2 linked regions of the Ovis aries genome follow. The protein of the gene in region 2 binds, or shares a complex with, the protein of the main gene of each other region. Links are inferred from orthologs where the notes say so. Each region holds a gene or a part of one and is shown on either strand. Other genes may lie near its edges.

Region 1 (4,432 bases), on a different chromosome or scaffold from region 2:
GGCTTCTCAGAAGGTAGTTACCATCCTCTACCTGGGTGAGGGCTTTAGTTCCTGCAGCACTCAAAGATCTGTATCAGATTATTACATATATCCCATGAGGAGGGACTAAGGCTCTGTTTTATCATTGAAATACAATTTTTTTAAATTTAATTGTAGTTGATTAACAATGTTGTTAGTTTCAGGTGTACAACAAAGTGAACTAAATTTTATTTATTTATTGCTGTGCAGCAGACAGGATCTTAGTTCCCTGACCAGAGAGCAAACCCATGTGTGCTGGAAGCATAGTCTTAACCACTGACCCACCAGGGAAGTCCCTGAACTATCATTCTGTGACTGCTTTTCCTTTGTTTTTGCATTCCCTCATTAGGAACTATTTGGATCTGCTCTTTGGAACAAGATCCAGGAGGGTCAAGTCTTTCTACAAACAAGGAATCAGGTACATAAGCAAGGGTTTTATACACAGCAGTGTCCTGCCAAGGGCCGGCTGTCTCAATGCCTTTTTCTTTGGTACTCAACAACCTTGAGGGAAACAGGTGGACAAGAAAGGGAACGTTATAGATAGGTTATTCCTAAGCTTTGCAAAGGCACCCGGTTTTTACGAAGGACCCAGCTTCATTTTCATGGAGTTAAACAAGTGTGAAGCAGCTGGTGAGGTGGGGAAACCATATAATTTTGGATGGTGAATGGCATGAAGAAAATCAGTAATCTATCCAAAAGAGTGACAGAGGGCTACTTTAGATTGGGTGCAATGTTCCTGACTAATGACCTGAGATGAGACTTGACCTACAAGACCACTCCGCACCCTCATGAAGATTTAGAAGAATATTAAAGTCAGTTAACAGGCCCTAAATAGAATCCGAGTCTCCGTGACCTAGAGGAACAGGCTAGAGTCCCAGGTAGGTGGCCAGATAATGTAATGTAGGTCTTTTATGTAGCAACTGGATTTTATTCTAAATAAGGGAATCCGGGAGTGATTTATAAGCAGATTCATTTAAAAGCTCTAGCTGCTCTGCAGTAAGTGACTTGGAGATGATGAAAGCGGAAGCTTGTGGGAGAACTGGAATTAAAGTCTAGTGCCTGACTTCATGAAAGTGCTGAATATACTGAACAAGCCTTATATGCCAGGCTGTTCAAAGCGCTGAGGATAAACACGGTTTTTGCTTCCGGGCCTCCAGACTAGTGAAAAGGGGTAAGAGGCCGCACATATGATGGTTCAGACGGTCTTGGCTGCAAAGGCTGATCAGACCCTGAAGACTGCCTAGTCCAAGCCCCGTAGCCTGAGCGAGAATCATCCGTACTGCACTTACTGTATCCAAGTGAATGAGAGGCCCGTGGGCCTCGAGCGAAAAAAAAGCCGAGGATGTCCTCCGGCCTCAGCGCTCAAGGAGACTCAGGTGAGGTAACAACTTGCGACTCGTCAAAACGGAAGGAAGCCCCGGCCACCCACGCAGCGCGCAGCTTGGCATCGAAGGCAGAGAGCTTCCGGGGGCGGGGCCGACCGCCTCCCACCGCACCGCCCCCCCCCCCGGCTCTTCCTGCGCCTGCGCCGGAAATAAACACCTCCCGGCGGAGCAAGATCATAGGATCGCCGGAACCCCGCGCTCCCGACTTCTGCTTCCGGGTCAGAGGCATGGCGGTGGCAAATTCAAGCCCTGTCAATCCCGTGGTATTCTTTGATGTCAGCATTGGCGGCCAGGTGAGGTCTTGGCAGCCAGCCAGCCCGATGCCAAAGGGAACGTGCACGCGGTCTGGCAGGCAGATCACCTCCTCAGGTGTAGCAAACTCGGGAAGCCAAAAAGTGAAATTGAACCAGAACCTACCGACCTGCGGGGCGGGGGTGAGGGAGTAGGAAGAGGAGGAGTCTTGCGCATCCTAGCGCCCGGCTGGTGGAGGGACCGGGTGGAACGGAAGAGTAGGCTACGGAGGCGGAGGTGGGAGAGACCAAGCGGCATGGGGGCCCGAGGGTTCCCTGTTCGGTGAGGCCTTCACGGGCTTGGACTGGGCTTTCTGAACGTCTCTCGCCGGTTGCAGGAGGTTGGTCGTATGAAGATTGAGCTCTTTGCAGACGTTGTGCCTAAGACGGCGGAGAATTTTAGGTAAGATGATGTTCTTTGCTGGATAAACCAAACGAGAAGCTGGGCCTGTCTGTGGAATCTTCTGCCTACCTCTATCCGTTCATTCACCGTCCTTGAGATCTGACTTCTCTGGGTATCTCTCTGAATAGTCTTGACCGTCCCCTTTTCAGTTTATGTTAATCTGTATGCCTGGACGTCTGACCAGCCAGTTGGTGGGCTAGCTAGCGCCGACGTTCCCCTTCCCGCTGAGGTTAGGGACGCTCAGAGTTGTGATGCCATGGCGACTGAATCGTTCACTCTTTTCCTTTTCAGGCAGTTCTGCACAGGAGAATTCAGGTCAGTCTCTGACGTGGTTGACTTCTCTGCTTGCTCCTGAGGGCTGTCCTGAGGCTGCAGTTGAGGGTATTGGGGAATCACCGGCAGGCCTTGTATGACTGGTGACAGTAATAGAAGGTATTACTATGGGTCTGTCCTCAGTTCATTTGCCTTCTTCGTCTCTCTTCTCCCGACCATCTTTAGAAGGGTGTCTCTGGCTCGACTGTATGGTAAACGTGAAAGGCCTATGTTTACCTGTTTACCATTTCAAGTCTCTTTCTTTTTGCTTATAGAAAAGATGGGGTTCCGATAGGATACAAGGGGAGCACCTTCCACAGGTAAGGCCTTTGGCAAGCCATCCTGGGGGACTTTTAAAATTACTATTAGTATGGTTTAGAATTACTTCCTTGGGGGATTAGTCTCTTCAGAGGAAAACAAAACCATAGCATAATTCTTAGTTCTTGAGAAGGGATGCTTTTGTGAACTCAACCATTGATTTGAGGACTGAAGTGATAAACATTATATTTTGAAATTAATGTTATTCCAAACCACACAATCTTCTCCCAGCATCCTTTGTTCTCTGTTTCAGGGTCATAAAAGATTTCATGATTCAGGGTGGAGATTTTGTTAATGTAAGTACTGTTCCTTTCCTATTAAGGGCCTATAAGTTTTGTTTTTGTTGGTTGTTGTTATTGAAGCTGCTCCTCGGGGAACTGAGAACAGTAGCCAAGTTTGCTGGGGGAGGAGGTGGGAATGGGAATATCCTGTGATGGCTGCTACTCGCTGCATCACTAGATAACATATTAGCACTTTGATTGAGTCACTCACTCCAAATCTCAGTCTTTTAGGGCTGGGAACTGACTTTCCCAGCATACCTATAGGTGATCCATGACAGACCCAAATTAACTGGGCACATGGAATTTAGCTAGAAATCAGTTACAGTTAACTTTCTCTAAATGGGGGCAAGTCCCTTTCCAGTGAGTTAAATGCTTATGCCCTGATTTCCCATTCACTTCTGGTATCCCAGTGCCTCGGAAGGTGAGTTGTTATTTTTTTAATCAAGTTCATTAGTGGGCAAGAAATCAGAGAGTTCTGGAAGGATATTTTCCCTATTCACTAGGAGAACCCATTGAATTAATCCTTCATTGCTAAGCATGATTTTTCTTGCCACTGTATGCATCCCCATTTCAAGCTTCCCAACCTTGCAGGGTTCTGAATAAACCACATTTATGCTTTCTTAAACCTACGTTTGTCCATACCCACCCATTTCTGTGCATGATCTTTCTTATTAATATCATTTGGTTAGTCATGTTGCTGTTTTCTTGGATCTGGGAGACATTCTTTATCCTTTACATGTATATTTAGTTTGACTGTTAGGAGTTTTTTTAAGATTTCTATCTTTCCTACCCAGATAAGTTTACAAAGTGGCAGATTTGGGGCTGAATCCGAAACAGATATGCTTTGTATCATCTGTATGATGTTGTAAAACTGGGAAATTTTCCGGAAAGTTCTGGAGTTTTGTTTTCTCTGTTACAACTGAAAAGTAGGGGTGCACTTGGCCTGTGTTTCTCATGTAGCAACATTTGGTTGAGTCAAGTAACAGCTCCCTTTAGACAGGTATGTCCTTATTATTTCACCACAGTTCCCACCACTGGCTTCCCTTCTTTACGTCACATACTCCTATAGGCATTTAAGTTTGCAACCCCTGGCCACGACTGATTAGAGTAGGGCTTGGGGTGACCATATCCTTTTTTATTGGCAAGTAAGAAGGGCTAAGATGCTATTCTCTGTGTTCTTTCTTCCAAAGGCTTCTATACTGCTATATTGTCTTAGCAGGGATAGGACTAACTTCTTATGGGTCATTGCTAGGCACATGTGATCACTTGCTAATTGCTCTAGAGTTAGCAGTTAGTCAGCCAGAAGGCTGTCAGGGAGAAGAAATTACTCAGAGCCACCCTTAGGGCAGAAAAAATAGAATGAGCAAGACGTAGAAGCAGAATTTGAGACCTTCTAAAGTTGGACTAAGAATATTTGCTTGTTTG
Region 2 (2,471 bases):
CCCAACTCTTACCCAGAAGCCAGCCTTGGAGAGGGTAAGGTGCGACATTTAACAGGCACAGCCAGGACTGGTACGACCATGCCAGGAGCGGCTGGGGGAGGCGAGGGTGAGAAAGCGAACCAGCTGGCTTCTCTTTGGCTGGCTGGGGCCCAGCGTGGGCTGAGAACTGCCTTAGCAGAGCCGGGCCAGTTCCCTCCCTGCATCTCTGTCGTTTGTGTCACCTACAACCGGTCTCACCTGGCAGAAGCCAGACCCTAAGCCACCTCTGAGGGGCCTTGCTCACCTCCACGTTCCAGGTGAGTGAATGAAATGAGCTCACTTAATCATCGCAAGACACCCTATGAAGCAAGGTGTTTTGGTCAAACAAACGGCAGAACTAAGGCCGTTTAGAAAGGTTCAGTGACTGCCTGAGGTCACACAGGTGACGACGGAGCCAGAGGGCAATGTCCCCCATGCTCTGTCTGGCACCGCCTGCCCTTTTCCCAGGTCTGACCCTGGAACCTGCACCAGGACCAGGGGGAAAAAAATAAGGAGGGAGCTTTATTTAATATTAAAGTCGGGGGAGGGATCAGAAGGGAGGCCAGCTTCACTTGGTGATGGTGTTCCTGCGGAAAGAAGAGGAGCGTGAGGCTGCAGAGCGGCTGTGACCCCGCCCCCGCTCCCCAATGCACGCAGGCAGCACACCGCCCCACTCACGCGTTCATGCTCTTGCCACTGCCGCTGAGCACGATGTATGGGGTCTTCTGGGCCTTCTGCTTCTCCTGCAGCAGAGCCACGGTGCCCAGGGGCGTGTCACTGGAGCTCATCTTCTTCAGGAGCTGTGGGTCGGGCCAGTCAGCAAGGCAGGAGCACCCCAGCGCCTCAGTCCCCGCCAACCCCACACCCCCAGAGGCCACTGCCACCTCCCCGTGGGCACCCACCGCCTCCTCGTCCAGCTTCTTCATCCGCCGCTCCGTCTTCATTTTGCCGGAGCCCTTCCCGTGGAAGCGGTGGGACAGCTGCCGGAAAGCCTGTGACCGGGCAGAACCCTGTTAGAGCCGCCGGAGCCCTTGGGGCAAGGGAGGGCGCTGGCTCCCCAGCCCCGGCTGAGCCGAGGTGGGGGCGGTGAGCCTGGGAAGGGGCTGGGAGATGGCCCTGGCCCTGGCACCCTCTGGGAGCCCCCGAAGAGAGGGAAGGATGTGCTGGAGCAAGGGGGCAGCAGACTCCAAGAAAGTGAGGAGAGAAAGGCGGACAGCTGCCACCAGCCGAGAGCTCAGGGGGCCGCTGGGGAGAGGGCAGGCAGGCAAGGACGCCCTCCTGCCAGGCCTGCAAGGGGGGACCGCTGTGCCCCCAAGCGATGGACACCACAGTCCCCTGGCCCAGACTCCAGGGCGCGGCCCCGCTCACCTCCTTGGGTGTGAGCTTCCGGCCCGTCTCGTCCACGTACTCGATCTTCACATCGGGTTTATAGCCATCCTTCTCCTTGAAGTCCTGGGTGAAGCCGCGGTACTCCTCCCGCCGGCTGTACTTATCGTCGATGGCCCTGTGGGAGACGCACGGGGCCTCAGCACTGCCCGGCACCGGGCTCCCAGGGCGCGGCCCCCGCGCCCGCACTCACATCTTATCCTCGATGCAGTACACGGCCGACGGCAGGGACTTGTTGGGCGCCTTCACCCGGGCCACCTTCTGCACCGTCGTCTCCAGCAGCCCTGGGGGGTGGAATCTGTGAGAGCCCAGACTGCCCAGCACTCCCAACAGCATGGTGGCCCCTGAGGGACCCTCCAAGCTGTGCTGTGGGAAGGGAGAGACATCAGTCCCCTCGTGCAGACAAAGGAAACGGAGACCCAAGAGAAGTCAGGCACATGTCCAGGGCCACCGGCTCAGTACACAGCAGAGACGATCCTAACGCCAAGGTCTCTGCCACCGCCTGGATTGCGGCCACTCCTCCCGCTCCCTGCAGAGGAGAGGCCGAGCCTCCAGGGGCAGTGGTGCCTGCTGGGGCACGTGTGGGCACAGGCACTGAGCATGGGGGAAGCAGCGCACAAAGGCCAGCGGCTACCGCAACTGCCGGGCCCGGGGGCGGCGGGGAGGAAGGGAGCAGGGGGCCGGAGGGCAGCAGCTGCCTGGCCCGCCTTCCGTGGCGGCACCCAGGCCATCGCAGGGCAGCCTGAGATGTTCTTACCTTTGTTCTGACACAGGAGCAGGGCGGCCGCCAGCCCTCTATTCACGATGGGCTCCTCGTCCAGGATGGTGGTGGAGGAGGCAGAGAACTGGGGGGGCGGAGCACACAATGATGGGGGTGCTGAGTGGGCTACCCTCCTGCCCGACAGCCACCCCTCCCAGGACTGTGGTCCTTGCTGTGTACCAGGCCCTGCGCGACAAGACGCCTCATTTAACCCACAACACCCCACCAGGTCTGTATACCCCATTTACGCAGGAGGAGCCCAGGGCTCTGAGACACGGCGGCCCCACGGTGGGGAGGGCAGAGCTAA

What was found. The genes of interacting proteins can lie anywhere in the genome.
Region 1: SART1 (region 2) and PPIH share a complex: the UniProt entries of both Homo sapiens proteins name them as parts of the U4/U6-U5 tri-snRNP complex. The link is inferred for Ovis aries from reciprocal best matches to the Homo sapiens genes SART1 and PPIH.

What each region holds. Positions count from the first base shown.
Region 1 is NC_056054.1:17,161,058-17,165,489, forward strand, and holds the start of PPIH (peptidyl-prolyl cis-trans isomerase H), read left to right. Parts: upstream 1-1,606; 5' UTR 1,607-1,630; coding exon 1,631-1,696; exon of another isoform or gene 1,697-2,031; coding exon 2,032-2,096; intron 2,097-2,387; coding exon 2,388-2,411; exon of another isoform or gene 2,412-2,505; coding exon of another isoform or gene 2,506-2,528; intron 2,529-2,683; coding exon 2,684-2,728; intron 2,729-2,979; coding exon 2,980-3,022; intron 3,023-4,432. UniProt on the Homo sapiens protein: PPIase that catalyzes the cis-trans isomerization of proline imidic peptide bonds in oligopeptides and may therefore assist protein folding. Participates in pre-mRNA splicing.
Region 2 is NC_056074.1:40,509,006-40,511,476, reverse strand, and holds the end of SART1 (U4/U6.U5 tri-snRNP-associated protein 1), read right to left. Parts: intron 2,250-2,471; coding exon 2,162-2,249; intron 1,689-2,161; coding exon 1,598-1,688; intron 1,523-1,597; coding exon 1,387-1,522; intron 1,011-1,386; coding exon 921-1,010; intron 819-920; coding exon 697-818; intron 606-696; coding exon 587-605; 3' UTR 522-586; downstream 1-521. UniProt on the Homo sapiens protein: Plays a role in mRNA splicing as a component of the U4/U6-U5 tri-snRNP, one of the building blocks of the spliceosome. May also bind to DNA.